Linked DNA regions of Nothobranchius furzeri. The protein of the gene in region 3 binds, or shares a complex with, the protein of the main gene of each other region. Links are inferred from orthologs where the notes say so. Each region holds a gene or a part of one and is shown on either strand. Other genes may lie near its edges.

What was found. The genes of interacting proteins can lie anywhere in the genome.
Region 1: vti1b (region 3) and stx5a share a complex: the UniProt entries of both Homo sapiens proteins name them as parts of the SNARE complex. The link is inferred for Nothobranchius furzeri from reciprocal best matches to the Homo sapiens genes VTI1B and STX5.
Region 2: vti1b (region 3) and bet1l share a complex: the UniProt entries of both Homo sapiens proteins name them as parts of the SNARE complex. The link is inferred for Nothobranchius furzeri from reciprocal best matches to the Homo sapiens genes VTI1B and BET1L.

What each region holds. Positions count from the first base shown.
Region 1 is NC_091741.1:87,967,415-87,978,432, forward strand, and holds the start of stx5a (syntaxin-5a), read left to right. Parts: upstream 1-3,929; 5' UTR 3,930-4,048; intron 4,049-4,429; 5' UTR 4,430-4,587; coding exon 4,588-4,650; intron 4,651-4,996; coding exon 4,997-5,067; intron 5,068-8,423; coding exon 8,424-8,479; intron 8,480-8,567; coding exon 8,568-8,638; intron 8,639-8,747; coding exon 8,748-8,864; intron 8,865-10,716; coding exon 10,717-10,773; intron 10,774-10,881; coding exon 10,882-10,963; intron 10,964-11,018. UniProt on the Homo sapiens protein: Mediates endoplasmic reticulum to Golgi transport.
Region 2 is NC_091754.1:42,725,097-42,735,959, forward strand, and holds bet1l (BET1-like protein), read right to left. Parts: upstream 7,090-10,863; 5' UTR 6,863-7,089; coding exon 6,844-6,862; intron 4,554-6,843; coding exon 4,468-4,553; coding exon of another isoform or gene 4,464-4,467; intron 2,497-4,463; coding exon 2,440-2,496; intron 1,076-2,439; coding exon 908-1,075; 3' UTR 158-907; downstream 1-157. UniProt on the Homo sapiens protein: Vesicle SNARE required for targeting and fusion of retrograde transport vesicles with the Golgi complex. Required for the integrity of the Golgi complex.
Region 3 is NC_091758.1:18,875,914-18,886,966, forward strand, and holds the start of vti1b (vesicle transport through interaction with t-SNAREs homolog 1B), read right to left. Parts: upstream 5,106-11,053; 5' UTR 4,974-5,105; coding exon 4,877-4,973; intron 4,779-4,876; coding exon 4,720-4,778; intron 1-4,719. Other genes in the region: rdh12 (retinol dehydrogenase 12), read left to right, coding at 8,464-8,537, 9,086-9,204, 9,715-9,870, 9,944-10,048, 10,147-10,356. UniProt on the Homo sapiens protein: V-SNARE that mediates vesicle transport pathways through interactions with t-SNAREs on the target membrane. These interactions are proposed to mediate aspects of the specificity of vesicle trafficking and to promote fusion of the lipid bilayers.

The sequences.
Region 1 (11,018 bases), on a different chromosome or scaffold from region 3:
CAGTTTCAGTTAGTTGTTGCAAGTGTGCAAGAGCCACTTGAACAACATTTTATCTGTGTATTTTGTGCACACACTCTTCCTACCTGCAGCAGGACTGGTCTGCATTCAGTGCTGGTTATGTCCATATCCTAATAATACAGATGAAGAAGATTTCTGTCTCCGATACTCAGATTTCAGTTACAGATTAGGACGATGCTAACGTTTCACAAATCTGCACAAACTAAGGGAAGAAAGGGGTGGAAAGGATGGGCAGGATAAGAAAGAGGAAACAGGAGAGAAAGATGAGGGGAGCTAAGTGCTGCTACCAACCTCCCTGTCGAAGGGCACGAAGCCAGAACTAAATATAGCAGCAAGATTATGGAGACAGAGAAAGAGAAAAGGACAGAGTGAGTCATATGTCTCGATACAGAGAGGATGTGTCCCATCCAGGGTCTATTTTTTAGCACTTTGCGACTCTAAAACCTTCAAAATGATTGCTAAAAAGGAGCAGACGCACCATTGTTCTCTCCATGTTGTCATATATTTTATGCATTCATATGCTATGTCTCCTTCCTCGTCAGCCTCCCCACACCCACCCACCCCAGTCTGCACTTGTACCAGGACTTCCTGTATTTTTCCACCTTGCTTTTCTTTGCATTTGTTCTCACTGTTTTTCTAATAACTGCAGCCATGGTTTCCTCCCTGCTCAGTGTAGCAGCAGCTGTGTTGGAGCAGGTACTGGACGCTATCTGCTCTGTGACCATGTGTGTTGTTAGATGGTATCAGTGTGTGTGTGTGTGTGTGTGTGTGCGTGTGCGTGTGCGTGTGCGTGTGCGTGTGTGTGTGTGTGTGTGTGTGTGTGTGTGTGTGTGTGTGTGTGTGTGTGTGTGTGTGTGTGTGTGTGTGTGTGTGTGTTAGAGAGGAGTGCTGATAAACCAAACCAGGAGTGAAAGACTGGGATTTAGTCCATTGTTAACACGGTGAACACAAAGAACTTTTTTTGTTGTTTTGCAGGAAAACAAAACTTTGTTATCTTCAGCAGAAATGTGGATCCACAGACCTTGTCTGTCCCACTCCACAACTCCACTGAAGCACACTGAAAAAAAGATTCACGTTCTTCTCACTACATGGGAAACAGCGTGCGCAAAATAAACATGCGTAGAATGGAGCATGGAGATGTCTGCCATGATAAAGAAATTCCTGATGGTCATCTGTTTCACTATGTTCAGCGTATACAATGAAAATGTGACATGTTCACAGACTGCACCCGCTACCACTGCAGACGGAGTAAAGGTTAAAACGACAGGAGTTTTTTTTTTTTTTGTTTAGGATCATCTTCTGGATGCAAATGCACATGTTCCTGACCCAGAGACTTTTAACATATTCAGTCAAAATCAATGGATAATATGTAATATACATGACACATGTAAGAAAAGGGTTTCAGTTATGGCTAAAAGACGAAGAAACTGTTCTTTTCTGACCTCATATGGGCCAACGTTAAGAAAGCAGAGGAGTTTCCCGGCACGATTAAAGTGCGATATAAAGAGCGATGGAGACCATAGCTGAGCCGATGAGGGTTGGTAAATAGTTCTGACAATATGTTGGAAAGTTGGGAGGGGTCACTGTTGGGGGGTACAACAGGTAAAGGGTGAGGACATAGCTGTGGTTTAGACATGCTTGATCCTGCCACGAGGAGGATGCTGGTACCAGCAGAAGCAGAAGAACATCAGAGTGTCTGCTGGATCTTATCTTCATCGTTCCATACCATACCTGCAAGTCGACTCACCTGAGGTACCAGCCAATCAAATCCTCTGTTTACTGTTTTCTCCCTTGTTCTTAAGAAGGCAAAGGTTAGTATGTTCGTGACATGAGTTAGAATATTTTATTTGTATTCAAGTAACATGTACCCTACTTTACCGTACCATGTTATTTATAGAGTGCACTTGACACGGTGCTGCAACTGACCAAAGCGCTGCAAAAAATAAAGCATCACAAGCAGAAATCATCACGTGTGTCATTAAAACAATTAAAAAGAACAACGAAGTAAAATCAATGAAACAAGGTGAAACCACAAAATACCAATCCACAGATTTAAAATTGAGCAACCAAGGTGGAAAGAAGGATGACAAAGTATGAGTTAGTGCTTCATGGTTTAGGAGCTGAAGGCCAGGGAGAAGTAGTGTGTTTTCAGGCGTGATTTAAAAATGGTGATAGAGGGCACTTGCCTGACCTGGAGAGATCGTGAGTTCCAAGGTTTTGGGGCATAGAAAGAAAAAGCCCTTTCCTGCGGGTCTTCAAACGTGCCTTAGGGACGGTGAGGAGGAGCTGAGGAGGGCAACCAATGGAGAGAACGGGTGTAATATGCTGTCTTCTATCAACTCCAGCCAGGAACCTTGCTGCTGAATTCTGGCCAGAGTAGCTTTACTGGTGCCATAAAGGCAGGAGTTGGAATAATCTAGCCAAGATGTAATGAAGGCATGAATCACCGATTTAGAAGACGGGCACTCAGGATGGGCTTTAATTTAGAAATTTGTTGAGGTGGTAGAAGCAGGACTTCACTGTGCTATTGACCTGAGCCTCCATCTTCAGAACCGGGTCCATTTTTACTCCGAGGTTGGAAACAGTAGAAGTTACATTAGGAGGATGAGAGTGGTCAGGTGGCTGAGTCGCTCTAACATTATCGGGACTAAAAACAATTACTTCTGTTTTAGAGTCATTCAGATGAACACAGTCATACAGAGGTTTAGTGGAGTCAGTGGGTTTAAGCAAAACATAGATTTGGCAATTGTCTGCATGTATGAAACAGCATGCTGTTTGAGAATGGCTCCTAAAGGCAGAATGTAGAGGGAGAACAGTAATGGGCCGAGAATGGAACCTTGAGGAACCCCTTCAGGGACCGTAGACCAACTGGGATGAGTAGTCGTCCAGCCTGACCCTGAGGGTCCTGTTAGAAAAGTAAGAACTAAACCAGTCAAGAGCCAAACCTGTGATGCCAGCCCATGTGTGTAGTCTGGAGATCAAGATGTTATGATCAATCAGAATCATCTTTATTGTCAGTGCCCCAGCGTCCCGAAGCACAGAAGTATGGCTCGGCAGTACAGCCTGACCAGATACAGGCAGACCACGAGAGCTGCCATTCAAGGCGCTCATTAGATCTAAGGCTGCTGATAGATCAAGAGGTACCAGAACCACATGGAACCCTGAATCCAAAGTCAGAAAGATGTCATTAAACACATGAACATGAGCAATTTCAGTGCTATGCTGTTGTCTAAACCCAGACTGAAAAATGTGCATTACTTGATGGTAAATGTGTTAACTGTTCATGCACAGCTTTTTCAAGTACCTTTGATAAAAATGGCAATTTGGAAATTGGTCGAAGATTAGAGAAATCAGTGGGATCAAGACCAGGTTTTTTCAAAATCGGCTGAACAACAGCATGTTTGAATGCACTGGGAACTTCAGCCAAGGTCAAACTACAAAACTGTATTTTAATATGTTGAATTATTACCCAAGTAAAGTCAGACCCAAACCTGGTTGAAATCTATTACATGACACACAACTCAAAGCTGACAGATAAGTAATTTACTTCAAACATAAACAGGGTAAAAATCTGCTGGATCTAATGTTGAATATGCTGAGCAAGCAACCTGTAATGTGGCAACTGAGTGCTTTTTACCACAATAGTTTTCCCACTGACAGATCAGTCAGGTACAATTTTGAATTATTTGGGGGTTTGCACATATGAAACAACATGCCTATCTGCAGTGACTTTGCAAATTTAAAAATTCGAATAGATTTAAATGGCTGGGCCCTGTTAAAATTAAACATTATTTTATTTGTGCTGATCTTTGGTGTTTAGTCATTTGCTACATTCCTCTCATTAAGAGGGGGAACATTGCCCCCTGGTGGAGCTAATCTGCACCTACGGGGATTTACGTCTCAGTAAAGTAGACGTGGCAGTGACGTCAATTCCGGAAATGACCCGGATCGGAACTTTAACTAAAACGGTCGGTTAGTTCTTACCAGAACATCGAGTATATTCGATAAAAATGGTGTGATGCCGACTCAAGTAAGTGAAACGAATTGAAATATGAATAATCTTCATGTTTTGAGTTTAGAGCGCAATAAAGTTCGGTTTTAATGGTGACGGAACCGGATGAAAAGCCTGTAGCGTTCTTTAGCAGATGTTAGCCGGTGGTTAGCCGGTGAGGCCGAGATCAGCTGTGCGTCGTGATGGTTCTCGAAGACTTTGGGGGTAATAATTATTACCTAATGGTATTTATATTTTGCTCTCACGTGGGAATGTTTGTGAATTGTGGTCTTTGTCATTTACCGCATTGTTGCTGCGATTTAATTGTTTTCGTAGTCGGGGCTAACGGTACCGAATAGGTATTTTTGATTAGTCTTTTCATTAAGCTGTTCACCAAAGATCCTTTCATTGTTTTTGCAGACATGTGTGTGCTTGTGCCGATGAAGGACACACCACCTTGGATGTGAGTCTGTCCCCCAGATCAGAAGGTCTCCTTGTTTATATTCATCAGGCAGACAGACGTTAGGAAGAGTTTTTCGGGTGTCCACAGCAGGCTGGTGACACTGAGCTGCGTCAGAATGACGTGCCGTGACCGAACCCTCGAGTTTCAGTCAGCCTGTAAATCTCTACAAGGCAGACAGGTATGTTTGAGTGAACTACGGCCACCATTAAGGTGTACACCTTAAATTCACCCTTGCTTTCATGTTGTGAGTAAATTGGAATGCATTTATAACAATGATTCTTTTGGTTTTGCTTTTTGGTGTGTGTGTGTGTGTGTGTGTGTGTGTGTGTGTGTGTGTGTGTGTGTGTGGTTTTGGTTCCACTTTTTTATCAGTCAGGTGATACTGTATACCTCCACAAATATATTAGTTACAACAAAAATGTTTAATTAATAATCTAATAATATATTTTTATTTATCCACTGTGTGGCTTCATACTGTTGGTTTAAATCTAACATTTTATTCCTCATATCCCCCCACATGTCAGAATGGAGTCCAGCCTAGTAAACCTGCTTCTCAGTCTCTCAGGCAACGCAGTGACTTCACACTCATGGCCAAGTAAGAGCTTTAGAGGTTTTCCTACATGTTTTATTCATGTGTTACAAATGTTCTTTTTACTGATACCACAGCTACTTTAGTTTTGAGTGTTCCAGATGATTCTTAACCTGTCTTAAAACTCTCAAGAGTGGTTGAGATAAAAATTATTTTTTATTCTTTTTTTTTTTTCTCCTGTCCTGTCTGGCTGTGAAGCAAACAGAATTAATGTCTGAATGCTGGAGACAAGCCTTACAGATTTTACTCTCAGGTGGAGCATCAAAGCTTCTGCTTTTAATGTCATGTCTGATACTTAAAACTTTATTGTTAATGTTTTTCGAATGCTTTGTAATTTCGACCGGACACGGAGACAGAGGTGAAAGAGAAAGGAAGATACAAAAGGGGAGGGGGGGGGGTCCACGAAAATAAACGATCAATGATGAACAAGAGTCTGCTTCTAGACCTGCAGAAAAGGGACACACACAACAATACAACAGGAGCAAGCTATCACTGTTTCAACTTGATGAAGAAATGTAAAATCAACATTGTTTTATTGAACAATCACACGATAATAAATTATAGTGCATTTAGTGCCAACCACAGCCTTAAGACATGTGTTGAACGTGCCCAAGTTCCAGTGCGGGCATCGTCTGGCCTATGCCAGCTGATGCCACCACACTACCCCACTTGCACCCACAGCCCTCAGTGTCTAAGTGCTGTTTAAAATTGGAAGTGGTCACTGGCACTCGGGATGAGGCTGAAAAATCCCCCTGCCAAATGCCGTTGAATGTGCTCACTCCCAAGGCCCTAAGTGTGTGCTTGCGTGGAATGTCGTTGGTGGAAGTAAGGTGCAAGTAAAATTGGGGGGCAGGTTGCCACAGGAATGCGGAAATGGGGTCCATACCTGCACCCCCTGACTTGTCCACCCTCCAAGGTCCTATGTGCATGATTGTGTGATGATGTGAGGGAGCAGGAGGAGAAAAATGTGTGGGGATGGGGAGGAATTGCTGGTTGGACTTAAGCCCTCCAGGGAGCCAGCTCCCCCACTGGCCCCGATAGTGGGGGAGCCAGCTCCCCCACTGGCCCCGATAGGCACCTCTGTTGCCAAAATGTCACCCAGGACATGGAGACCCCAGCCCATCTTGCCAGGGAACCAAAGGAGCAGCATCACATCCCTGCATTTGCACAACTCCCAGAATATATAAGACATTGGACATTGAGGTAAGGTTGGGTCCTCCCCCTCCTGGACATCCCCCTCCCCTGTGATGGAACAGCAGAGGAGCCGAGGTCTACCTGAGGCCCCTGAACCCGGGACAGGCACTGCCGCATGTTCCTGCCTTCTTCCCGGCAGCATACATGTCAGGACCCGACCCCCAAGGCCCCGCCCAGATCCCCACACCAGGCCGGCCACACCCTGAGCCCCCAGGCCCCCACCCAGACCTGCTCAGGGGCAATGCAGCTGCCAGGCAGCGACCCATGGCCTCCGCCAAGACCCCCAAGGGACCCCACTCACAACCGCCAGTAGTCCACCCCCCGAGGTTTTATTCTAACACGTGTTAATGAAGCAGAACCCAGTGTTTCCCTTACACAGGCATAGGTGGCGGCCCGCCACGGCTGAAATCCCAGCGCCACGCCTACAAGATCCCAAGTTTAATTGATTTTTTTTTTCTTTGTGCCATTTCCCGAAGAAGCAGCGGGAACTACTCTGTTGTTGCTTGTGATGAAAGCCGGCAGGCAGCAAGGAGGAGGAGGCAGGGCAGGGTGGTTACAGATAGGGCGGATAAAGCATTTTTGATGAATACGAGCATGAAACGAGTAAAACTCATAAATATCTGTAATCGTGCTGAAAGAAAATACCCATTGGGTAACTGTCTTCATGCTCCGTGATTGGCCAGTCACATAGAGCGTCCGCCCCTCCCTACACACAAAACTCTGCAGCCGGGAGCTCAGTCCGGCCCAGGCATCCACGCACACACACAGACAGTAACGGATCTCTCTGTGATTGCTTCACTGTTGCTCACGTTTCTTCAGTACTCCCTAGGTTTTCTTCAGCTCGCCTCTTTTTCGGTTGAATATTTAAAGTTACCTTTTCCGTAACATACGTGGTGCATTTGACAAGACAGAGCTGAAAACGGCTCATGCTGCGTCGGTCACTGCCTCATCTCCGGTCGGGTTTTTTAAAATTATTTTAACTTTCTCTCTCTCTCTGTCTCTCTCTCATACACACACACCTTAATCAACATTGTTTTGTTTAACTTTGTGTGGGGAAAATGCCAACAACGTTAGGAAAAAATCAGTTTAATCAAATTAAAATAAAAACATTAAAAAGGTTTGTCTGGTTCTAGTATTTTAATTGTTCTAGTATTTCAATTGGGGTCAGTAGTTCCTACTGCATGAGTTTAGATGTATTAACTCATATACTTAAATATTAATGTTCTGATTTTACTGAAAAACTTGTTCTTTAATAGTTCCTTTACTATTGTGGTCAAAAATATTTAATCTAAATTCTGAGGCTGCTCTGTAAATAGTTTTCAAATAAACACACATAGCAACTTCTGATCAATCCATATCAATTTCAGATTTAAAATAATGTATTGATGTAAACCACACCCACTAATTTCCAAATAATAAGTAGGAGTTGCATTCATCTGTGTATCTCCTTTGACATTAGTGATATTTTCAGCACCAGAACAATGAAGCAAAGAAACCGATTCCTGAGTTTATGCTAGTAATTTTATTTATTAGGTGCATCTGACCTGTTCTATTTTTCTCTGAAATGAGATCAAATCAGTGCTTCTATGGGTTGTCTCCTCTCTGCACTAGAAAAATGTGCTTCATTATAATGATCACTGTAACGCATCTTGATGTTCTTAACAAATAAATTAAATCAAAGATATTGGTCAATAATGCCAAATATGTAAATTTGTGTTTCAGTCATTTTTATACTGACTTAAAAATACTTCATTAAGTCGACTAAGCAGGGGTGTAGAACGTTTTTAATAGGGCCAGCCCAGTAATGATCTCGGACCAAAATAAAGGGGGCAGAAAGTCAAATAAAGGGGGGCAAAAGGAGATGTTTTTCCAGACGCCAAGAAAAATTAAATGCCAAATCCCCCCTGCAAAGTGTGTCACTGAGAGTTTAAAACAAAAATTATTTTTGTGCAAATATTGGTGTATTCACCTTTTAATACTAGTTATTAAAATGCAGCAGTTGCTGGATTGGTGCAGTTCAAAGTGGAGTGCATCAAATAAAACAATATTAACATAAAGGTGAGACGTGTCATAATCCCCACCCACCACCACAACCACCACAGCTAGAAAAATTTCTAGGGGAAACACTGAGAACCAAAAGTAAGTTTCATCTGCTTGTTTCTTTGCAGGAGGATTGGGAAAGACTTAAGCAATACATTTGCCAAATTGGAAAAACTCACAATTTGTAAGTGATGGTTTTGTCATTTCTGCAGAAATAAATATTTTGTTTTCCGAAGTGCTGATTTTTGCGTGCTATTGCTTTGTTATTTCAGTGGCCAAAAAGAAATCTTTATTTGATGACAAGGCAGTGGAGATTGAGGAGCTAACCTACATCATTAAACAGGTAGGTTGAAGTTGCTCTCCAGCAGGTGTGAGGTTTATAAATGTGTATTAAAAATATCAGTTTTTGTTTATTAAAATACTGACTTTTTCATATGTTCTTCTGTCCAAAGGATATCAACAGCCTAAACAAACAGATTGCACAGCTGCAGGACTTGATCAGGTCCCGCAGTGCTCCTGGTGGCCGACACATCCAGACCCATTCCAACACTATAGTGGTCTCATTACAGGTACATTTTGTGTATTTGTAATATCTGATCTGCATATGGTATATTTCATATTTGTTCAAAATAATGGTTTAAAAAACTTATTTTAAGGTCTTATATCATGCAAAATCTACTTTTTGAGGGTTTTGACCATGTTATATTACTTCCTCATGAAAAACAACCCAAATTTATTTATTTTTATGCATGTGTGCATGCATTTTTATGTCGAAGCATTTTCTTTCCTTTAGCTCTGCAACTTTTTGCTAAGCTGTTTCATGCTGCTGGGTGGGTTATTGCTATGTCACGACTTTATTATCCTCATCTAGGTGGTTTTGAGTCTGCATCCCTCCTCCCCTGGACTGTAAACACTAACACCCAGTCTCTCCATGTAGCTAGCAGAGACTTTAATCTCCACAGTTGTGATTTCTTTCCTGTCTAGTCTGCACTTTAAATAATGCAGTCATTGAGTTGCACATGTCAGCTTGAACCTCTGGTCTCCAAGTCTGCAGCTGTGTGCTAATTTGAAATTCACATTGCAGGAAGCAGGGTTTGATTTAATCTGAGCCTCTTATTTCTGGGTTGAAGTAATGGCTCACAAAAATAACTTGTACTTTATAAAAAAAAACATCTCGATAGTGCTAACGGTAATGTTTCATCATACCTACCAGGGTTTTTCCTGCCTCAAATTGAGGCAGAGGTGGTACCACCCTGACCATGTGCCAGCACATGCATACTCTGTGCATTCAACTGCCTCACTTTTTAAAGGCAAAATATTATAAAAGGCTCAATAATTTTAGATTAGTGTTTAGTTTCCTTTTTCCCATCTGATATTTATAGTTAAAAATATTTTTAAATATGACCTATATTTCAGTAACATTTTAGGTTTGTATTAATAACACTCATCTTAGTCAAAATAACACAAATATATCCAGTAAAATATAATGCATTTCATTAACATGCATTTGTATTGGAAATGGTAATAACATTTAATTTCTGCTGCTAACAATGTAATGGTGGCATGTCTATTATGTACGGGTTAGGGTTAGGGGGTGTTCCGTTTTGCCTTGGCCCCCAAAATGCCTTGAAACGGCCCTGGGCGTGTGACTGAGTTTTGAAGGTGATCTGAATTGTATCAGATGTACAAATATTACATGTGGATAACTTATTGTTTTATACTGGTAAAAACGTGTAGTGGAGATAAATCTACGTACGTTTTACTTTCAAGCTTTGTTTTCTTGTTTTTATTTGACTATTGTCCTGTCCTGTCTGTCTCTCATCTTCCTGCATCTCCTCTAAATTCTCTAGAAAAGCTGCTGTCTGGCTTCTTACTTTTTCACCTCATCAGTTACTTTTGAACAGATCAAAGGGATCTCCTGACCGCAAAGCGTAGTGCGCATTTTGATGCTGCGTCAGTGAGGTGAAATCACCGCAGCACAGGATGAGCGGAGCGTGTCAGGAACGATTAAAAGACAGAGTACCAGAGGATATAAACAGATATGAATAATCATGTGTTAATAATAGTTTTGTTGTGCCACCTTGAAAATGTATCGTGTGGTGGACGCAGCGGGCGCACCAACGATCAGCGCTCTGCGTCCTCTCCACTCAACATGGATGTTAAAATAACATCCATATAGCTGGGGGCAGAGTGAAATCAGGATGGGGCGGCAGAAAAATAGCTGGAGGCGGCCGCCGCACAAATTTGAACGCAGGAAAAACCCCGCCTACCATTGCATTGGAAGGTCTAAAATGGCATGATACAGGTCCTTTAAAATATCAGATAAAAAGTTTTCATCGCTTGTATTTATTACGTGCTATGCTTCTTTAGATGTGCTTTCAGCTGAATGATGGACTTGTTTTTTTATGTTTCTATCTGCAGTCCAAACTGGCATCAATGTCAAATGACTTCAAATCAGTCTTAGAAATCAGAACTGAGGTGAGAATGTTTCCATGTTATTACGAGCAGAAAACACTAGTACTGGTGTTCTAGAATGGGAGTTTTTAATGTAATTTAATTCTGCGTCGTCGTACGTCTCCTGTGTAGAACCTGAAGCAGCAGCGCAGCAGGAGAGAGCAGTTCTCCCAGCCCCCCGTCTCCTCTTCTCCTATGATGGCCAACAACTTCAGTAAGTCTCTGTCCCTTCTTGGATTCATGCTTTCAGTCACTAAATATAACAATAT
Region 2 (10,863 bases), on a different chromosome or scaffold from region 3:
GAAGCGACTCGCCGGTCAAGATTCCCGCTTCCGCGCAGATTAACTGGCCATCCCTCTTGTCTCGTTGTTCATTTCAATCGTACTAACAAAAAGAATGGATTTAAAAAAACTTTTTGAAAATATTTCAGAGGTTTTAGATGGCAAGGAAACAACTATAACATCTTAAAATGTTTTATTCAGTTACTAAAATAAAATCATTATTTGAGTCACAGTCGTGAAAATAAATATATTCCTTCTTTACTCAAAATGCAACCAAATGGATCCGTTGTTTATATAAATCCCATAATAGGTACAATACCACCAAGTCTGCAACCAACCCTAATAACAGTCTTTAAATCAATGTCATTCATCTGTGATGAGAAAACTTGCTGGAATACACAATCGTTTGATGACTTGAAATGAAATTTGAATGAATAAAGGGCCAAATCATCTCTATAAACCCCAAACAGGATCTTAACATTAATGTTAATGCCAGAGACGTATTGACATAAGCATTGCAATAATCCATAACTTATAGTTTCAATGCAAATACATGAAACATGAAAGAGAACCCTTAACCTCCAAAGACTTGAATAAATCTAAGATTCATCAGAGATGCTCTGATTTGAACTGGTGTGTGATCAGGAGCTGAGACTCAGCTGTGTTGTACCAAAACCAGATGTTTCTCCTTCCTTCTCTCGGGATGCAGGGCAGGTCAAAGCTGGTTCTCCACAGAGGGAAGCTGTTTTCATAACAGGATCCACCACCGTTCCTCCCATCGAGCGAGCCCACACCACCTGCTCTACATTAGTACTTCCTGTTGACATCTAACGTTTCTCTCTTTGGTCCTGATGAATGAAAAAAAAAAGTCTTCTTTGCTCGAGATACAGAGCTCACTGGAGTCTGGTGTGGTGGTAACAGTCTGGTCTCAGCGCTGAATCCGGGACACCAGGTAATAAAGAAGAAAGAACACCAGAACCAGACCCATGGAAACGTAACAGAGGAGGCGGCGGTTGTCTCTGCCAGATCGGACCATGGTGGAAAAACGCTTCACGCTGCCGCTTAACAAGCCCGTCGCACTCAGGAAGTTTGAGTCCTAAAGAGGAAGAAGAGAACAGTATTTACAGCGAAGCCAGGCCTGTTTAACTCGACTCACTGACAGTGTAGAATTCCCGGTAAACATTTGGGATCATCTATCCCATAAAACTCTCTCACTCATCATCTAAACCACTTATTCCTTGTTAGGGTCGTGAGGAGCTGGAGTCTATGTGCAGTAGCCACTGGCTGAGAGGCAGGGACACCCAGGTCAGGCCTCCAGTCCATCACAGGGACACGAGACAAACGACCACCGACTCACTCACTCACTCACTCACTCACTCACTCACTCACTCACTCAGAGACAATTTGGTCTCCACTCAACCTTCTGAAGACCAGCTCAGTGGCCTAATGGTATGAGTGTGTGCCCTGAGACTGGGAGACTGCTGTTCAAATCCACCATTATGAATGGGTTAGTGTTATTGCCGTCATCATCTTCTTCTGCTTATACGGGTCCGGAACGCGGGGGCAGCATCCCAACTAGGGAGCTCCAGACCGTCCTCTCCCCGGCCTTCTCCACCAGCTCCTCCGGCAGTACCCCAAGGCGTTCCCGGACCAGATTGGAGATGTAACCTCTCCAACGTGTCCTGGGTCGACCCAGGGGGCCTCCTGCCATCAGGACATGCCCGAAACACCTCCCCAGGGAGGTGTCCAGGAGGCATCCTGACCAAATGCCCAAACCACCTCAACTGACTCCTTTCGATCCGGAGGAGCAGCGGTTCTACTCCGAGTCCCTCCCGAATGTCCGAGCTCCTCACCCTATCTCTAAGGCTGAGCCCAGTCACCCTATGGAGGAATCTCATTTCGGCCGCTTGTACCCGCGATCTCGTTCTTTCGGTCATTACCCAAAGCTCATGACCATAGGGGAGGATTGGGACGTAGATCGACCGGTAAATCCGGTAGTGTTATTGTTCCTTATATAAACAGTGGATTCATTCGGGTGTATTTTGATTGAAGCCGGCTCTGTGGAGGCTCGGAGAAGCTCGTCCTCCACTGTGTTTGGCGGCCTCTCAGCCACACTCGGCTCCTCTCGTTCTCCAGAATAATGGACGAGGCAGACTTGAGAAATGTTAACCAACGTTTGACACTCAGCATTAAAGGTTTTGTTCGATTGGGGGCTTAAACAACCCAATAGTTCCAGAGCACAGCCGCGTCTGCAGCTCAACACTCCACCTGGGTGACGACTAATGGGACTTTAACGTTTAAGTTCTGCTTGAAAGACTGTAGGCCTTTGAGACAGTGCTTGTTTTTATTCCTCATCTTGAAAATCTACTTTGACTAGTTTTACTAAAAATGTTGACTTTAATCTGGAAATAAAGTCCAAAATTTCCATCAAAGACGATGTCAGCCACAGATTGGACCCACCATGCCGTCTAGGTACTCGTTCTGGTCGTCAGCCTCTCTGTCGATGTCATATGCTAGCTGCCAAAAAGGAGACAGAAGATCAGAGGTTACAACAACTTTCAACTCAATCCTGTTTCCACTCTAGCTGGGGCATTCTGGTGAACAAACATAAATACAAAAACAATGCTTTCATTATGTCTTTGTGAAAATGCAAACCCCAATGCTGTTTGGTAAATGTTATTCATTTTTAGGGGAAGGCAGCTTTATTTATACAGCACATTTCAAACACAGGGACAATTCAATGTGCTTTACACTTAGCATGAAATGGCACGACAATAAACACGAGAACACAGATACAATTATATTCTAGAGCTAAAAGGAAAAGACAGAGCTATGGTTGAGCAATTACATCAGAGATTACAGTGGAGACGACCCAGCATAAGAAACAAATCATGTAAAGGCTGATGAGTACATTCGGGTTTTTAGCGTTAAACAACACTAGAGTTGGGGCAGATCTGAGGTCATGGGGAAGCTGGATCCATATGTGAGCAGCATAGTAACTAAATGCATCTCCACCATGTTTGCTTCTGACCCGAGGTTCTACCAGCTGATTGTTTCCAAGGGATCTCAGAGCCCTATTGGGTGTATATACAGGAATGAGATCTGACATGTATTTTGGCCCCATGCCATTGAGTGATTTATAAACTAGTAGGAGCACTTTGTAGTCTATTCTGTGGTTTACTGGCAACCAGTGTAGGGATCTAAGAACAGGAGTTCTTGTTAAGACTCTGACAGCAGCATTCTGAACTAGGGTTGTCACGGTAACCGGTGTAGCGGTAAACCCCGGTAAAAAAGTTGACAATAATAATAACCGTCTTGTTTTTAAAAAACTATATTATCTCGGTGGGTTACCTGGCTGCGGTGTAGGCTCGGTGACCCTTACCAGCCACCGTATCATCTGCTGAAGTTGCCGGCGGCACATGCGCGCTTTGTTGTTTACAACCAAAACTTTCTTGAAGCTAAAGCTGAAATAACGGCCAAAGGAGGAGACGGCAGCACTCAGGACATTTATTATCCCTCAAAGAAGACAAAGTGGGAAGTACGGGCATTTTTTGGATGTTTGAAGAATGCCGAGGGACAGTTGATAGAAGACGGCTATCCTGTTTGCAGCACGTGCAGAAAAAGTGTCTGTGAAAGGCAGCAACGCTTCAAATGTCATGACACATCTGCGTGACCATCACCCACAACTCTACAGTCAACGCAAGGCAAGCTAACGTTAGCATTTTAGCTCAAATGCGTGATCCGAGGATTTGGGTTGAGGGAGAATGCAACGAGTCGCTATATAAAGCAGCCGCAGCGCCGCTACCTGCATATAAACCGTGTCGCGGACACCCCCATGTTGAAATGACGCTATGCATTACGGGGCTCCCAGGGGCAGATAAGAGTTGGTCTCTCTCCGAGAATAATTATGAATTTAACAACGATTACTGCCTGATGACATTTTCCCAAATCTGCAAAGCTCACTGGAAGGACACAAACCGAGGACAATATTTTCCTGAAATAGGGTTTATTATTCAAGTAAGGGTAAAAAAGTATCTGATTAGAAGGCTACTTGAGTACTGAGTATCATCTGATCTAATATTTTTAAATGATGACATCAAACAGACATAAAATAAGAAGTTATGGGCAAATATTGGTATTTTAAAGACTAAAGGAGAAAAATGTAAACAAATAAACAACATAATTACAAAATAACACATTTTAGGCAAAATTTTGACACAAACTGAGGACAATATTTTCCTGATATACAGGGTTTATTTAGTTATCTGAAAATGTAACACGTTAACAAAAATACAGCGATAATACCGAAAACCGTGATAATTTTGGTCACAATAACCGTGAGGTTAAATTTTCACACCGTGACAACCCTACTTCTGAACAAGTTTCAGTTGCTTCACAGCTTTTTTGGGAAGACCAAGACTTGCTGCTGAGAAAAAAGTGAGTTTGACAAACACCTAGAAAAGCTATCAACTCATCGGACTCACATACAGATTTGAGTCTGGAGACTTTGGTGGCCAGATTCTCAGCCATCCGTTTGTTTTCAGCATCCAGCATGTCGTCAACTGAGCCGTGACCTGAACAAGCACAGAAATACAACCTGTCACATTTCTGTGATGGTTTCAAACATCTGCTTTATCACACTAACTAAACGTCTCGTCTGTAATAGATTTAAAACAATGTTAATACACAGATCTCAATAGTGTTAATTCCATTCGTTCGTAAGGAATACTTTTTCCACACAAAAACTAAATGAGAATTGAAATAAAAGGTTGGATTAAAGACTCAAAGGATCAACATGAAACAATGAAAATCCAATGAGAGGACAGGGAAGATACGAAGAACGAACAAAAGAACCAGTCAGCAAATGGAACAGGCAGAACTAGAAAAGAACCAGTCGAAGTCCGAAGCTTGGTGCTGTTTGAACAAGATCCTGTTAAAGTGACAGTGTGTAGTTTTCACCTTTAATCTCTGGAAATATCCACCGAACTGTTGTCGTAAAAGAATTAAAACAGTTGTTGAAAAAATATTGGCAGTTTAAAAACAAGTTACCATAAAGATCTGTTGTAAAATACATTGGAAAGGGACAGAGGGTGTTTCTCAATGCCAAGGAACCTCGCCTTGATGTCTTGACCCTGCCCCGGTTGCCTAGGAGATACGTCATCAGGAGCTGCCAAGACGCGTTCCAATGTTCATGTTCTACCAAGGCGTGTGTTCTCCGTTAGTTAGCTGTTTAGCTAGCTGAGCAAGGATACACAGAAGGTGTCTTTTAGCCTAGCCTTGGCAAAACTTTCCCAGAATACACCGCAGTATTTTCAAAAGCATGGCGGATCAAAAACCGGCAGCTACTTCGGGGGCAAATTTCAAGTTTAAAAGTAAGAGAACTAATTTAAAATGTTTCTTTTTTAGATCCAACGAAGTTATCTATTGTTGGTTGGCTGCTTATTAGTTGCAGCTTCGGTGGCTAGCGGGTAGTAACTTGCTTATATTTTTAATTTAATAAACATACACAATTTTAAAAGTAAACACCTCGTTATATATTTATATTGAAACTAATACGTATAAAATATATCGTTATGTCCCGTTTCATGTGATGTTACATGGCTGTCGTGGAAGCTGCGGTCACGTGATGCAAGTCTGTTCCATTTAAACGTTTTCTTTGACCAAGGAAGAACAGTGTCCTCGTAAGTAAGGCACCTGGCCTAGCAAGACATCGCCTCGCAAAGCCAGGTGCCTTCACATTGAGAAACACCCTGTCACCGAGCGATGCCATATTGGATGCCATGTTTCCTTCTACGGAAGTCTGAGGACAAAATGCATTTACTGATATGTGACAAGTGGTTATAAACTTTGAGCATTAATACACATTGTTGCTTTACACATTTACCTCTTCACTCGTTTAGTGATGAAAGGGAATCTGGTGTTATTTTGATGGAGGTTGCACTCCCAGGGATTTTTGACCCTAAGTGCCATCAGTTGGTAAGGTCTTATTTGAACACAAAAATAATGCTTGCTTGCTGTGATTCGGGTATCTACTGCCCCCTATCGCCAGGAAAACTACACATGGTCACTTTAGGCAACAGCTGAACAATTTATGTCAAAAAAGGAGAGAATGTCCACGGCTGGGAGGAAAAGCATTAAAAGTGATGATCTGGAAAAAAAGACTTCTGGACAGAAAAAAAGCAAGGACACCAACTTTTACTTTGAAAGTGTTATCAGTTAAAACTGAACTGAGATCAGAGTCAGCAACAGGATCAGAACATAATCAGGTGGGAAACAGATTAGAGTGAAACATGCATTTCTTCAAGACGTGACTGATAAAGGTGTTCTGTTTTATTTTTCTGTCTCTGTGGTGCTGTGTGACCTGTACTTACATGTGTGTACTGCTCCGTAGTAAAAGTAACATTTAAAACCTTTTTTATACTAGTGGTGCGTTCAGGAAAGGTTTACTTAAAGGAAACCCCGGTTATGTTCCATAAAGACCATCTTATGTCAGCCAAATTATCCAAACAAAACTAAATATGAAAAGTAAGCCTCAAATCCTGTTTTACTGTTGTTGTCTGCCCTTTCACCATTTAAATGAAAGTCAACCACGAGCTAAACCTCCGATTGTCTTTTCTTTATTCATAATCTGAGAAACGTCCCGTTTTTATCGCTTTATCTGCTTTGCTCAGCGAAGAAGGTGTTGTTAAACAGCTAGTGCTAGCCTCATGCTAGCCCAGCTGGGGGTTCGGGCTCTGAACCGTTGGTTCTGATGTCTGCTGACGTCACAGTCCCCCTCGCACCGCTATAAAATGGCATTTCAACCATCAACATCACAAATAAACTATAAGATAAAAGTGAATACGTGTCCAAATTCAAACCCACCTCTGTTCCAGTCCGCCATGTTGGTGAGCTACGTCACGATCAGGTGCTCAGCCACGTGATCACCGCCAACAGTCTAAGGACAGCTGTGGTAGGTTGTCGTATCATTTAATCAAAACAACCATCTATTGTCTTCTAGAATTTTTTTAATTAGCCAGATTTTCTATTTATTGTTCAGAACTAAAGTTGAAAACATTTAAAAATCATACTTCTATAACAACTAAATGATAAATGCCAAATGAGCAAAGAACACGTTTCTTAAATCAGTCCCTCCCTGACTATACAGATGATTGCAATATTTTGTGATAATTTCAGGTTTAATATAAGTTTAAAGTGACAGTGTGCATTTTCCCTGGCGACAGGGGGCAGAAGATACCTAAAGCAATGCAAGCAAGCAGTATATGTGGCCGTGTTCCAGATAAGCCAGTTCTGTGCAGATTAGATCAGCGGTGATCGGCGAGCTGTGCATGGCGGTTAGATTTGTGTCCAACTTGACGCCGACTTGGTCTGACGTCATGCATACGTAGGCAACGATAACCTCGTGAGATCAAAGTGGCCGCAGATTTTGGAGCAAGGTGCTGCAGTTACTCTCCCTCGGCTGCAAAACCTTGGGGTTGACGGGAAACGCCTGTCTCTCACCTGATCTAAGATCTGATTGGTTCATATTTTGATCCGAACATCCGGTGGTAGAACATAAAATGTTAGTTGGTCACATGTATTCTGTGAATCATGTTATGCTGATGATGACAACAATATAGGCCATAAAGAGAAATGTGTTTTGTGTTCTTTTGTCACGTTTCCTATGAGCACACTAAATCTACAGCTGATAACCTTTACTTATTGTTACAGTCATGTCTTCATATACAATATATGATATCCAGAAGCACGTGAGGATGTGTTTCAGCTGCTAACAGGCACCAGAATTAAAACTGAAAATTAAACAAGTATGAACGCTAACGCGATGTGTTCATCCGGTCGTCACCCATGAGCTACACATGTAGGGAAATTGAGGTTTCCGTTCAGCCCACAGCACAGAAACTGCCCTGATCCGTGTTATGAATGATTTACTTCTAACTGCGGATCAGGGCTCACCATCTCTCCTCCTCCTACTGGATCTGTCAGCGGCGTTTGACACTGTGGACCATACCATCTTACTAAATCAACTCCAGACTGTGGTTGGCCTTTCGGCAACCACACTACATTGGTTGCAGGAGTACCTTACGGGCAGAACGGAATTTGTAGCTTCAGGACAATGTCAGTCATCCCCCTACACTGTAAATTGTGGAGTACCACAGGGGTCAGTTCTTGGGCCAAACCTTTTCTCCATCTACATGCTTCCACTTGGACAAATTTTCCATAAATACAAAATATCGTTTCACTGTTATGCAGACGACACTCAGTTATACATGAAAATGGACTCCACTATACCTAAAACTCTTCCATCTGTACTTCAGGTCTGCCTGGAGGAGATGAGCATAACAGCATGGATGATCGCAAATTTTCTTCAACTAAACAGTAATAAAACTAAACAGTAATAAAACGGAATCTATCATTATCGGCACTCCACATCAAACACATCAAACACAGTCTCTCTCCCTTAGCAGTAATTCCATTTTCGGTCATGACATTCCCCTTTCCTCTACTGTAACAAATCTTGGTATCAGACTAGATTCAAATCTTACATTTGACACCCACATCCGCCACCTCTGCAAGGTCTCTTTTCTCCACCTAAAAAACATTGCTAAACTCCGTCCCTCTCTTTCTCAGCCAGATGCAGAGAAATTGGTCCATGCATTTATCTCCTCCAGGTTGGACTATTGCAATGCCCTCCTCGTTGGGGCCCCCGGCAAGAGCATACAAAAGCTCCAGCACATCCAGAACTCAGCTGCCCAGGTCCTGATGAGGAGACGCAAATACGATCATATCACTCCAGTTCTGAGATCACTTCATTGGCTGCCCATCCAATATCGGGTTCAGTACAAAATTGGCCTTCTTACTCACCAGTGCATCCATGGAACTGCTCCTGCCTATCTGAGCGAACTTCTCATTCCACACACTGCCACAAGAACCCTCCGATCTACCACCTCTTCACACCGCCTGCACCAACCACTGACTAAACTCTCCACTATGGGAGACAGGTCCTTCAAGGCAGTGGCCCCTCAATTTTGGAATTCTCTCCCAGAGATTCTAAGGGCCACACAATCTGTGGAGCTTTTCAAAAAAGGCCTCAAGACCTTTTTGTTTAATAAGGCTTTCTAGTGCACAATGATCTATTGAGTGTTTTACTTTATTGTGTTGTTTTTACTTATTGTTTGTATCTACTGTAATGACTTTTTAGATGGGTTTTATCTATTTCTGGGGACTGTTTTTATTTTCCATATTTGATAGTATCCTGAAATTTTAACAGTTTTTAACTAGCTGTGTACCTTATACCTGTCCCCTATACTCTATAGCACTTTGAGATTACTTCTGTAATGTAAAGTGCATTAAAAATTAATTGTATTATTATTATTATTAGGGAAATCTGTCCGACTTAAATGCCGGCTTTCCGCCACTCCCCCTGCTGCTTCCGTCTGCTCTCGTCTGTTTTCCAGGCGAGGCGCTGTTCAACTTGAACAAGAACTTTGTGTTCAAGTAAGACCTTACCAACGGATGGCCATTAGGGTCAAAAAACCCTGGCAGTGCAACCTCCAGAAAAATGACAAGCACATCAGACTCCCTTTCATCACTGGCAACAGGTGAAGAGGTAAATGTGTAAAACAACAATGTTTGTGAATAGCGACTGTTTTGTAACCATTTGTTTCAAAACAGTAATATTTTGTCCTCCCAGGCTCCTGTAGAAGGAAACATGGGGTGTGTCCGAATCCACGGGAAGGATGCTTGTAAGAGCGCATTTTGAGGTTGATGACGTCACAACGCAGCGACGAGTACTGTCCGAATTCCAAGAATACTCATTCTCGCGTCCTCAAATGCGTCCTCGCTCCACCCACATTTCGAGGACGGGTCTGTTGTATCCTCACAGAACAAGGTTATCCCAGCATGCTTTGCGCGCCGGCTGTGGATTTTCAACAGGAAAAGTAAATGGGGAGAGCTACGAAGTTTTAAACGTAAGTTTGTTAAAAACTAGCCGTAGAAACCTAAGAAGCTTAAAGCGGTTCAGTTTATAGACATTTTCGTTTGTATATTAGTTTTTTAAATTACATTTTAGGCAGAAATCATCCAGAACGAGTTTGTTTCGCAGGTCCCAGTTATTCCCGTGGGTGTGTGTGTAGCGAATTAAACTTGTCCTTTGTTTTGAGGACAACGGAGCAAAGAAGCGTTTTTTATTAAGCTTAGAGGTGAAGAGTGAAGCTGTTTACACACACAACAACAGAAGTTCTTTTGTGAAAAGTAGTTTTACATTCAGTCCCGAGAGCAGTGGGGGACATTGACTCCGAGTGGGCCTTGTTCCACTTTACAATTGTTGAGGCAGCTGTTGCTAGCTGTGGTCCCAAGGTGGCCGGTGGCAGTCATGGTGGCAACCCCCGTACCCCCTGGTGGACACCAGAGTTTTGGGGAGCTGTCAGGCTGAAGAAGGAGGCCTACAGGGCGTGGCTGGTCTGTGGGTCTCTGGAGGCAGCAGACAGGTACCGGATAGCCAAGCGGGGTGCAGCAGTGGCATTTGCCGAGGCAAAATTTTGGGGGCGTGGGAGAAGTTTGGTGAGGCCATGGAGAAAGACTATCGATCGGCTCCAAAGAGGTTCTGGCAAACTATCCGGCGCCTCAGGAGAGGGAGGCAGCAACTCGCTCACACGGTTTACAGTGGGGATGGGGAGCTGTTGACGTCAACTGGGGCTATAGTCAGGCGGTGGAAGGAATACAATGAGGAGCTCCTCAATCCCACCTACGCGCATTCCGAGGAGGAGCCAGAGCCGGGAGACCTGGGGATGGACTGTCCAATCTCTGGGGCAGAAGTTGCTGAGGTAGTCAAATGACTACGCAGCGGCGGAGCCCGGGGGTGGATGAGATTCGACCTGGGTATCT
Region 3 (11,053 bases):
AATGTAAATTATGTCAATTTGTTTAATTTATTGTGTTATGTATGTATCTTATTTCCCTTGTCTATTGTTGTTTCTTTTGGGGTAAGTTTCATGCTGTGTTGCGCACGGCCCATTTTGGGTGACGGAAAGGGAAGTAAAAGAGCATGTGAAAAGAAGCTAAGCTATAACCTACGCAGTCACAGGAATGAATAAATAAGCAGTTTAAAGTAAGGGAAAGCTGTAGAGAAGACGAAGAAGAAACCAGCGAATTACCTTTGTTAAGTTTTGTTCCTGAAGCGGATTCACTCCCTTATGGTTACGTGCAGCCAGCGAGGTACGTTAACTGTGTTTATTTATAGCGTACTTGTTAACTTGGGTTAATGTTCATTTGTAATATTTATGTTTGGTTATTCTGTACTTTGGTGTAATGACAGTTTGACGGTGGATTAATGGTGTTTTGGAGGAGAAGTGTGAAGGAAGAATAAATCCATCAGTGAATGAAGAACCGTGGTGTCGTCTATTAACCGGAGGGAGCGAAAGTCAGAATACTCAGCAATTCTCCAGTGAAACAATCGACAAACAGCACAAACTAAACCCGCCTTTTTCTTTTATTTTTAATATTTATATATTTTTAATAACTGCCTGTACAAACAGATATATTGTACTCTTTGTCATTGATATCCACACTGTTGGTGTGATGTGACAGTGTATCCAGATGCCTTGGTTGTGTAACAATCTTGGCTGATAAAGTGGATTCTGATGATAGAAAGACAACAGCTGCCACCACCTCTTCATTCGCTTCGCCCCCTTTCTCTTTCACTTCTGTCCTCATGTCAGTTGGGATTTAAAGCAACCGAAAATATTTCTAGTAAAGTTTTGGTATCACGCTCCACCTGTGAAAGTAAAACTGTAAGGCTTGTCTTTTAGCCTAGTGAACTAGACCAAATTCTTGCTTTGCAAAGTTTGGTCTAGGAACGCTCCACTGGAACCTCTGCAGCCCCAACAGCATTCAGGCTGGCCAATCACAGCTCTCTAGAGGGGTTTCAAACACATAAAGAGCTGTGATTGGTCCATAATGGTGGGCCAATCATAGCGCTCTATCTGCTTAGTGAACTAATCACAGAGCTTTATCCGCTTTGTGGGCCAATCAGGGCACTCTATATGCCTGGTGGGTGGGATGATGCAACAGAGCAAAACAAGTAGGGATGGGTATCGAATTCGGTACTTTTTAAGGTACCGACCGAGCAACGATTCACGTTGTTTCAAACGGTGCCTCGTTTTGGTACCCGTCCTTCATAACGAGAACTTGCCAAGACAGCTGCGCATGCGCAAGAGCGTTATGTCGTCGGTCCCTGCGAGCGTGTTGTAAACAGAGCAGCATGGTAGAAAGAACGCACGCTAACGCTTGGGTCCACTTCACTAAATGTGATGGGTAACTGGGTGATGATGAAACCAGCGACATACAACGATTTAAGTGAGACATCCTCATCTTAATCTGCTCCGTTAGGTAAATAAAATGTTTAAGATAACGTTACCTTGATATATTAGCTTCCGTTTCACTAATGGTGCGTTCGCTTTCTCCTCGGAACTCCGAATTTCCAACTAGAACATGAACGCGCTCTAAAGTTTGGCTTCACTTTACTAAATGCGACGGGTGATTGGGTGAAGATGAAACCAGTGACAACGATCTAAGTGTGAGGCATTATTGTTTTAATCTGCTCCAGCAGTTAAATAAACTGTTAAAGATAACGTTAGCTTGATATGTTAGCTTCCATTGCCACCGTTGTTATCAGCTAATGGTGCGTTCGCTTTCTCCTCGGAAATTCTAACTTCCCAGTAGGAAAAATTAAATGAAAAAAGACGGCAAAAGGAATGAAGATACACAGTAAATTTAGTTCACAGTAAAGATGTTTGCTTCAGTTTAATTATCAGCTTATAAAACTACAAGGACAATGTTAATACAAACAGTTGAATGTTATTTATCGTGATATTTGTCAAATGTTGTTATATATTGAGAAAAATATATATTTAATTATAAAAGAGAATTAAAATAATAAACACTCAAAAGTATCGAAAATTGGTACCGTTAAGTACCGGTATCGATTCGTAGGTACCGGGAATTAGTACCGAATCGATTCAAATGTCAAAGGTACCCATCCCTAGAAACAAGAGTATGTCACATTCATTGTCCAGTAGCATGCGGAGATCATTTGAAAGACAACGGTTGAACCTGCCCCACAACTGAGAGCCATAATTAGAGCGTTGCCAGACTAAATAATACAATTAATAATACTACTTATCTTTGGCATTCAGACATCAATTCTGATTGCTTCACAGCCGGACAGGACACCGTAAAAAAATAAATAAAAAGACAACAGCAGCTCCAACAATCACTCGTTCCTCCCAAGGTCTGCAGAACAGCATCTCTGAACCACAACATGATGATGCCTGAAGCAGATCCAGCAGCAGAAAACCACATCAATGTGTCTCTCCTGTCAGCTAAGAAAAGGATACTGAGGCTTCAATTCATCTGGTGTCACCAACATGAAAGCATGGGTCCATTCTGTCTTGCATCAATGCTTTAAGCTGCTGCTGGTGGCATTCTTGTCCCACTTTGGACCCCTTAGTACCAGCTGAGCCTAGTTTAAGTACCACAACCTTGTTGCTGACCATACATGTCTATCACTTTATGACCACATGGACCCATTTTTTGATACTACTTCAAGCACGATCATGCACCATGTCACAAAGCTCAGAGCATCTCTAACTGGTTTCTAGAACATGACGATGAGTTCACTGGACAAAAACGGCCTCCACGGTCACCAGATCTCAGTCCAGAACTTATGGAATGTGGTGGAGTAGGAGGTTTTCCTTATGAACAGAGCTGTGTGATGTTATGTTAATATGGACCAGAACTTCTAAGGAAAGTTTCCAACATCTTGTTGGATCAATGACATGAAGAGAGAAGGTAGTTCTGATCTAACCCTGCAGATACAAGGTGTACCGAATAAAGTTGGCAGTGTGAGGCACGTATTTAAGCATCTTCCTCTGTGTTTTTAACACTGAAGTTTAATAGACTTTTGATTTAATGATTACTGCACTACCTCTCTGCTTAAAGTGTAAAGCTGCGTTTTTACCAGGCCCCCACAATGTGGCTTTAAATTTGAGGCCAACCCGGAAGTAAGAGAAATTGCAGTTCCACCCTCATCCGCTGGGGGCTGGTGTCAGAAACGAGCAAATCCTCATTGACTCCCATGTTAAAAATGCCAATTTCACAGCAGAAATAAACATGTTTACAGCCTGGTACCAAAACATGTTTTTTGTTTAAATGATCTAGTTTATACTCATGACAACTCTGAGGGGGGTGAATTTTTTTTCTCACTCTTCTGTTTAAGTGTATTAAAAGCCTAAAATTCTGTATAATTAATGAGCATCCGACACACGTGACCACAGAGCTAGCTCCGTGGAAAGGCCTCAGTAGAGCCTCAGTCTGGCTTGGAAACTGTTCCGGGATTTTGAGTCTCTGTGTTTGTGTATTCTTTTTTGGATATTTTTTGTGCAATTGTTGGACAAAATGACTTGCTGTGGCATTAATTGCACTAATAGAGCGTCCAAGGAGTCTCCACTTCATTTTTTTCGGTAAGTAAAATTATATTTATGTATTTTAGGTCACTGCCAAGCTGAGCTTAGATTTTAACATGTACTGTTTAACCATGAAATTTAAATGTAATAGGGTAAAACCCAGTGCATTTAACACAATGCTGCACTTTAGAAAATGGGTTGAAATATAACATGTTGGTGGAGCTGGGTTCCGACTATCGGCTTGTGGAGCTCTCGGGAGACCGATGTTTTCCACCCAGAATGCCGGCTGTTTCTCCCCGCAGCCTGGTCCATCTCTGTCTGATCGCGGCTCCTGTTAGCTGCGCGGGCTAACGGCTGGTTCTCCCAGCAGCTCGGCGCATCGCTGTCTGATCGCGGCTTCTGTGTGCTGCGGCGGGCTGACGGCTGGTTCTTATGGCAAGCCAGAACCGCCAAAATACGCCACTTCTCCCCGCAGCTCGGCGCATCTGTCTGATCGCAGCTTCTGTTTGCTGCAGCGAGCTGACGGCTGGTTCTCCCAGCAGCTCGACGCATCTGTCTGATCGCGGCTTCTGTGTACTGTGCGGCTGCCGGCTTGTGGAGGTCTCCGAGACCTCTGGGTTCCACCGTATTTTACCCAGCGGTCAGCCCGGCGTACCTCTGACTCAGAAGCTCTGGTGTTGTGCACAGTTAACTCCAGTTGTAGCTAGGTTGCTACCTCCGATAGCTTAGCTCCCACATCCGCATTAGCTTTGGGTTAGCTTCAGGTTAGCTTGTAGATAGCTCGACCGGGTGTTGTCAGTTGATCCCAGCCTTACAGCCCCACCCTCAGCTCCTCCTCTCTTCCCTTTTGTGGAATTGTCTGGGCTTGACGGAACCTGTGACACGGTCAAAATGGCGGTGGTGGCCACCTCCCATTTAGCCTCAAAAACGTGTTATTGGAGTCTATGGAAACCCATTGTCCATATATTAATGTCGATGGTTTTTACACACAAGATGCATTCAGCTACATTAGCTTTAGCATCACAGCCAGTCATTGTACTTATGTTGATGTTTTGCGGTAATAATTACAGCAAACTCTTGGCCTTATTTATAACACTCACTGTTAATAAATAACAAACAGAAACAAGTGAAGATGTTGACGTAAACAAACGTTTTTACCACTTCATCAGCTTCCCCCTGTCTCTCATCGAAGGTCCTCACCAGTCTCTTCCTCTCCTCTGCATTAGGAACAGAACAAGTTCGAGGTTTAAACCAAGAAGGTTTTGTTATTTGACACTTAAACGAGGTTAAATGAGGGAACAACGGGTTTATTTACCTCCGGTACAGCTGAGAGCCTTCTCTGGGATTAGCTTTAGCTCGTCATACAAGGATCTGTAGATTTCGTGTAACTTCTCAAATTCTTCCGACGACATTTTCCGTCAATGTAATCTCGCTGTCTGTCATAAAAAGGCCACCTGTACCTTTTTCTTTAAAGGACGGAACGAACTACACAAGTGGATCAACTGCTTGTGCTTCGATGAGACTCTTCCGCTGCCGCATGACGACTCTCGTGACCAAGTGCCTAAACTTTACAACATTGCTACAAATTTGAAGTATTCACATGCTAAACGTTCGGTGAAATTTATTTCAATACTGAAGATGAATGTGACAATACCATCAATATGCTTAACACTATTTAAATGTCTTACAAGTTATTTTAACGTATTTTATTCAGGCACGAAGGTAGACAGCTTTAAACGGTCTCTGGGAACTGTAGTTTTTCCGCTAATTCTTCTAAAAAAGATTTGAAACATTTGTTAAAAGACAACTGAAACATCATAAAATAAGATAAACTATTACTAGTCACTACAATATTAAATAAAAATGAACGAAGTTTATATTAGTGTGCATTTACTTTGTCTGTTTACATTATTTTCTAGCCAGGCTATTTCCTAAAACAATAATGGGCCTAAATTATAGATACATTATAATAATAATCAATTTTGTACAGAATTATTGTTTTATAAATTATTTACTATTTAGATACAAGGCTACCTATAAAGAATAGCAAGATACCTGGATGATGTCCCGATTGAAACACCTTTGGTTGACGTGGTTCTGACTGCCATATGCGTCGCTCAAAAAACTATCCTCATGAATTGGAAAAATAGAGATACTCTTTGCATTAACCAGTATATAAATCTTTTGTTGGATCATATTACACTTGAGACAGCCTCTTCTTCCACTTCAAATCAATCTATATGGGCTCCTTTGATCGGTTCCATCACATAGAGGTGATTGTGTGTGTGTGTGTGTGTGTGGGGGGGGGGGGGGGGTTGTCATTGATACTGTCCTGCGGGATGATGTGGGTGATGGGGTGGAGGGTCTGCGCTTGCAGTATCCGGACGTTCCTTGGAGGTGGATTCACTGGGGGTGTCTGGGGCTGGGGGGCTGCTGTCCCACTCTGGAGGCGCTTGGGTTGCCTCGAGGGGTGGATTACTGGCGGTTGTGAGTGGAGCCCCTTGGGGGGTCTTGACGGTGGCGATGGGTTGCTGCCTGGTGGCTGCATCACCCCTGAGTGGGTCTGGGTGGGGGCCTGGGGGCTAAGGGTGTGGGGGTAGCTGGCCCCCATGTGGGGATCTGGGCGGGGCCTTGGGGATTGGCTCCTAACTTGTATGCTGCTGGGAAGAAGGCGGGAACACACGGCGGTGCCTGGCCCAGGCTCAGGGGCCTCAGGTGGACCTTGGCTCCTCTGAAATAATAACAATTCTGTCACATCACGGGGGAGGGGGTTGTCCAGGAGGGGGAGGACCCAACCTTACCTGATGTCTTATGTCTTACATATTCTGGAAGTTGTGCAAATGCAGGGATGGGAGTAGATATTCTGCTGGGGTGGGGCTGGGTTGGTGCCCTCGGACTCCGTAGGGCTCTGCGATGCTGCTGCTTTGGGCCCTGGCTAGGTGGGCTGGGGTCTCCATGCCCTGGGTGGCATTTTGGGAACAGAGGTGCCTATTGGGGCCAGTGGAGGAGCTAGCTCCCTGGAGGGCTTAGGCCAATCAACCATTCCTCCACATCCCCATACATTTTTTTTTCCTCCTGCTCCCTCACATCATCACACAAACATGCACATAGGATCATGGGGGGTGGGCAAGTCAGGGGGTACAGGTATGGATCCCATTTCCGCATTCCTGAGACAGCCTGCCCCCCAATTTTATTTGCACATTAAGCACTTCCACCAATGACATTCGACGTAAACACACACTTAGGGCTTTGGGAGTGAGCACACTCAACGGCATTTGGCAAGGGGATCTTTCAGCCTCATCCCGAGTGCCGGTGCCCACTTCCAATATTAAACTTCACTTAGATACAGAGGGCTGTGGGGGGAAGTGGGGTTGTGTGGTGGCATCAGCTAGCGTAGGCCAGACGATGCCCGCACTGCCCGCTCACCACAACCATGGAATACACCTCATCAACACACACTAACACTGTATTGGAGCAGGCAGAGGGAGACTAGGGGTCTTAGCACACCTGTGTTGTCGCTTTTTCACGTGTCTGAGCAGAACCTCCCTGAACCGTCTACAGGTGGTTCAGAATGTCTGTGCTCGGCTTCTGACCTAGTCCTCCAAACACACCCACATCACCCCGCTTCTCCTCCAGCTTCATTGGCTGTCAGTCAACTTCAGGGTTCATTTCAAGACCCTGGTTCTGGTCTATAGGGCCTTACATGGACAAGCACCATCTTACATTGGTGATCTTCTCAGTCCCTACACCCCCAGCAGGTCCCTGAGGTCCAGTGATCAAAGCCTACTGGTTGTGCAGCACCAGGCTAAAGACCAAAGGTGACAGATCATTTGCTGCTGTGGCCCCCAGACTCTGGACCTCTCTCCCCCTGAGCCTGAGATCAGTGAACTCAGTGGGCTCCTTTAAAAAGCAGCTGAAGACTCACTTGTTCAAGCTGGCTTTTGTATGACCTTCTTCACCACTCTCTCTTTATTCTGCTCTCCCCACCTATTCCACCTTCCTCAAGATCCACTGATTTCCCTCTTTCCTGTTCACTTTCTCTCTTTCTCAACATTTTTAATCACAATTGCCTATTTTTGCTCATTTTAAATACATTTTTAAACATTTTCTAAATGCTTTTTTATATTTTTACAATTTTTGTTTTTGTGAAGCGCCTTGTGATTTTTATCTCGAGAGGCGTTATATAAATGATACTTTCTTCTTCTTATTGGCTTCCCATGGCTAGAGGCTAGGAGGGGGAGCTGGCGTGATGGGTTGCTTTGCTCAGTGTTGGGCTCTTTCTGCAGGTCTAGAAGCAAACTCTTGTTCATCATTGATTGTTTATTTTTGTGGAACCCCCCACCCCCTTCCTTTTGTCGCTTCCTTTCTCTTTCACCTCTGTCTCCGAATTTGTCACCAGCATGCAGACATTAATTCGTTTGCTTCACAGCCAGAAAGGACACGAAAAAAAAGAATAAAAAAAAAAGAACAGCAAGATATGAAATGGCAACTAAAACAATTATGTAAATGGTCTGTATTTGATATAGTGCCTTCTAGAATCCTGGAACCCACCAAGGCGCTTTGCAACGCAATCAGTCATTCACCCATTCACACACACATTCACACCCTGTGTGTTGGAAAAAAAATTTTCAACATTTATTTAAACAAGCTACTACTGATTGGCAGTATCAAAAATAAATTGGTCAAACTGAAATCCTCACACGTGACACTAAAAGTGAGTCAAAATCGAGTGGACAGTACGTTTTCTGGTATTCGTCAGTGTAGAAAACTACAATCCCACAATGCTGTTCGCGTGTTTGGCTGATCCTTGCTCTCTCAACGTTTGACATCAGCTGTTCAGCCTACACATCAGCAGCAGCATCCTGCTGGGAGCCTCTCAGCCAAGCGCCAAATCGCAGCACCATGATCCTCTTATTAATCATCGCGGGTATCGGAGTGGTGACGCTGCTGGTGGTTTTATTCGCTCCACACATCCGGTGAGTAGCCGATCAGGACTGTCGTTAATTCTCATGAAAATCCCGTGTTTTTGCTCACCATGGACAGCTTGTTACTTCTGGGCTGACATGTTGTTACTCTGTTGTCTTCACGTGCGTTCACAGCCAATAGGATCTTAGAGCGCTCGTTTATTATTTCGGTGTTTATAGAAACGACTCAGACAGCCATAAAGGATTTTTTTAATAAAATGATTTGAGTTTTTGCACAAACATGAGCGGTGGAGGAGGAAGAAGGGGGGGTCTTCCACCTGAGGTGCTCGGACCAATCAGGAGCCGGAGCGTGGGAGGAGTTCTATTTGTGCGCTTTACTCCGGCGGTGCCATTGGGCACGGGGCGGAACCGGCTCGGTGGCGTGGGTCACACGACTTCACGCTCAGCACCGCTCTGACAAGTTTCTCTATGAATAATTAAGCCAGAAGCCCAAATGTTCAGTTCTAATGAGGCTTTTACTGGATGCATAACGGATCACTGGTTATTCTAATACTTACATCTTTGTGTGTTGTTCTAAATTATTACTGTGTTTCAAACAGAAGATATGCTGCTGGAAGAAAGTGCAAATCCACAGCTCGGCTGGATGGGAAGACGGTTCTGATCACTGGAGCAAACACTGGGATTGGGAAGGAGACCGCACTGGACCTGGCAATGCGAGGTGGCCTAGAATTAGGAGCCTCTGTTAAAGCAGTAGTTCACATCATTTGAAAAGGGGAAAGGTCATGAATATTGATGTTGAGAAACCTCAGTTTGGAAAAACAGATTAGTTCTCATTGAACGGATACAGTTACAAAAAACTTTGTTTACCCATTTGGAAAAGGATTTTATCCAAACTTACAGAGGGCGCAGTATCAACCTAAACATGCATGTTTTTTGTTCTGTGGGAGAGAGAGTGAAATACAGGAAAAGCGTTATAGGTCCACTGAGGCTAGCAGGAGTTAAATCAAAAAATGTTGAGTATACGAAGCAGGAAAAGTGTTGGATTTTTTTCTTTGCTGCATGGCAGGGGTGCAATCAGGCCAGCCCTGCCAAAAAACGATTAAAAAGTTAAAAATTCCAACATTTGAGTGATCCCATTGGCCGATCACAAAACACATTGTTACACTTCTAAAAGGGGTTTGACGGAGAAGTCATTTGTTAAGCAGCTGTTTTATTTCTAACATCACAGGTGCCCAAGTGATAATGGCATGCCGAGACGTGGAAAAGGGCGAGGAGGCCGCTGCGAGCATACGAGCTGCGTACTCCAAAGCACAAGTGGAAGTTCGAGAGCTGGACTTGGCTGATAGCTGCTCCATACGAGCATTTGCACAGAAATTCCTGAGAGGTGTGTGCAGAGAGTCTGATGACTATATTTATGTAAAAGTTACTGCTGTTCAACCTTCTTCTGCTTTATTTAGAGGTCGACCGTCTTCACATCCTGATCAACAATGCTGGAGTGATGATGTGCCCCTATATGAAAACTATTGATGGCTTTGAGATGCACATTGGAGTCAATCATTTAGGTTAGACTCTGGGCTTCAGCTGGACCAAAACACTCCAGATTAACTAAATCTTTTGGGATTATTTGTGTTTGAAATACCCACCTTTCTCTCCCTCACAGGCCACTTCCTGTTGACATACCTCCTAATAGGGCTGCTGAAGCGCAGCGCACCAGCCCGCATTGTGGTGGTCTCCTCTCTGGCACATAACTTTGGCTGGATCCGTTTCCATGACCTTCATAGCCAGGGCAGCTACAATAGCGGTCTAGCTTACTGCCAGAGCAAACTGGCAAATGTGCTCTTTGCCAGAGAACTTTCCCGCAGACTAAAAGGTAAACAAACACTATTGCAGTAAACTTGGGTGAAAGTACAGATGACCCAGTCCAGCAAGATGGATAAAAGAAAGAAAGGGAGTGGCAAACCTAAAAAAATGATAATCTATACAAATGTCAGATTTTATTCAACAGCAAGGTCACTGAGAAACTGTTCCCTTTCAGTCGATTCACTCGGTACAACGAAGGTACTTTGGGACATCCCGCCCTCGTGTGGCCTGGCTGCAGAAACCACAAATTAAAACGATCCACATTATTGGACAAAAACTATTGCTACAAATCCAGGTCACCATCAGGCCGTGATTTCATAGTCTCCTTTAGGTCCTTAAATGAGCATAAGCCATGCTGATTATCTCTTTGTTTTTAGTTCTTTGCTTCAGCTCTGAAGACATATCTGACTTTTACTTCCAGGATCAGCCACGATGCCTCCCCAAAAAAGCTAGCTTATTTTCTTCTTGTGTTTTGTATTGATGGTCTGAAAAAGCTAACTGCTAGCCTTTTATTAGCTACTGGCGAAAAAGCTAACTGCTAGCCTTTTATTAGCTACTGGCACAGAAAATAGCTAATAGCTGTTAATCAGGTGAAGAGCGCCCCCTAGGATACCTACACGCACCACTAAACTGTTACGTGCTGTTTCTGGTCAGCAGAGTGCTGTCTTGTGTGAAGTTGGTAAACTTTAAAGGAATTGGTTAAAGTG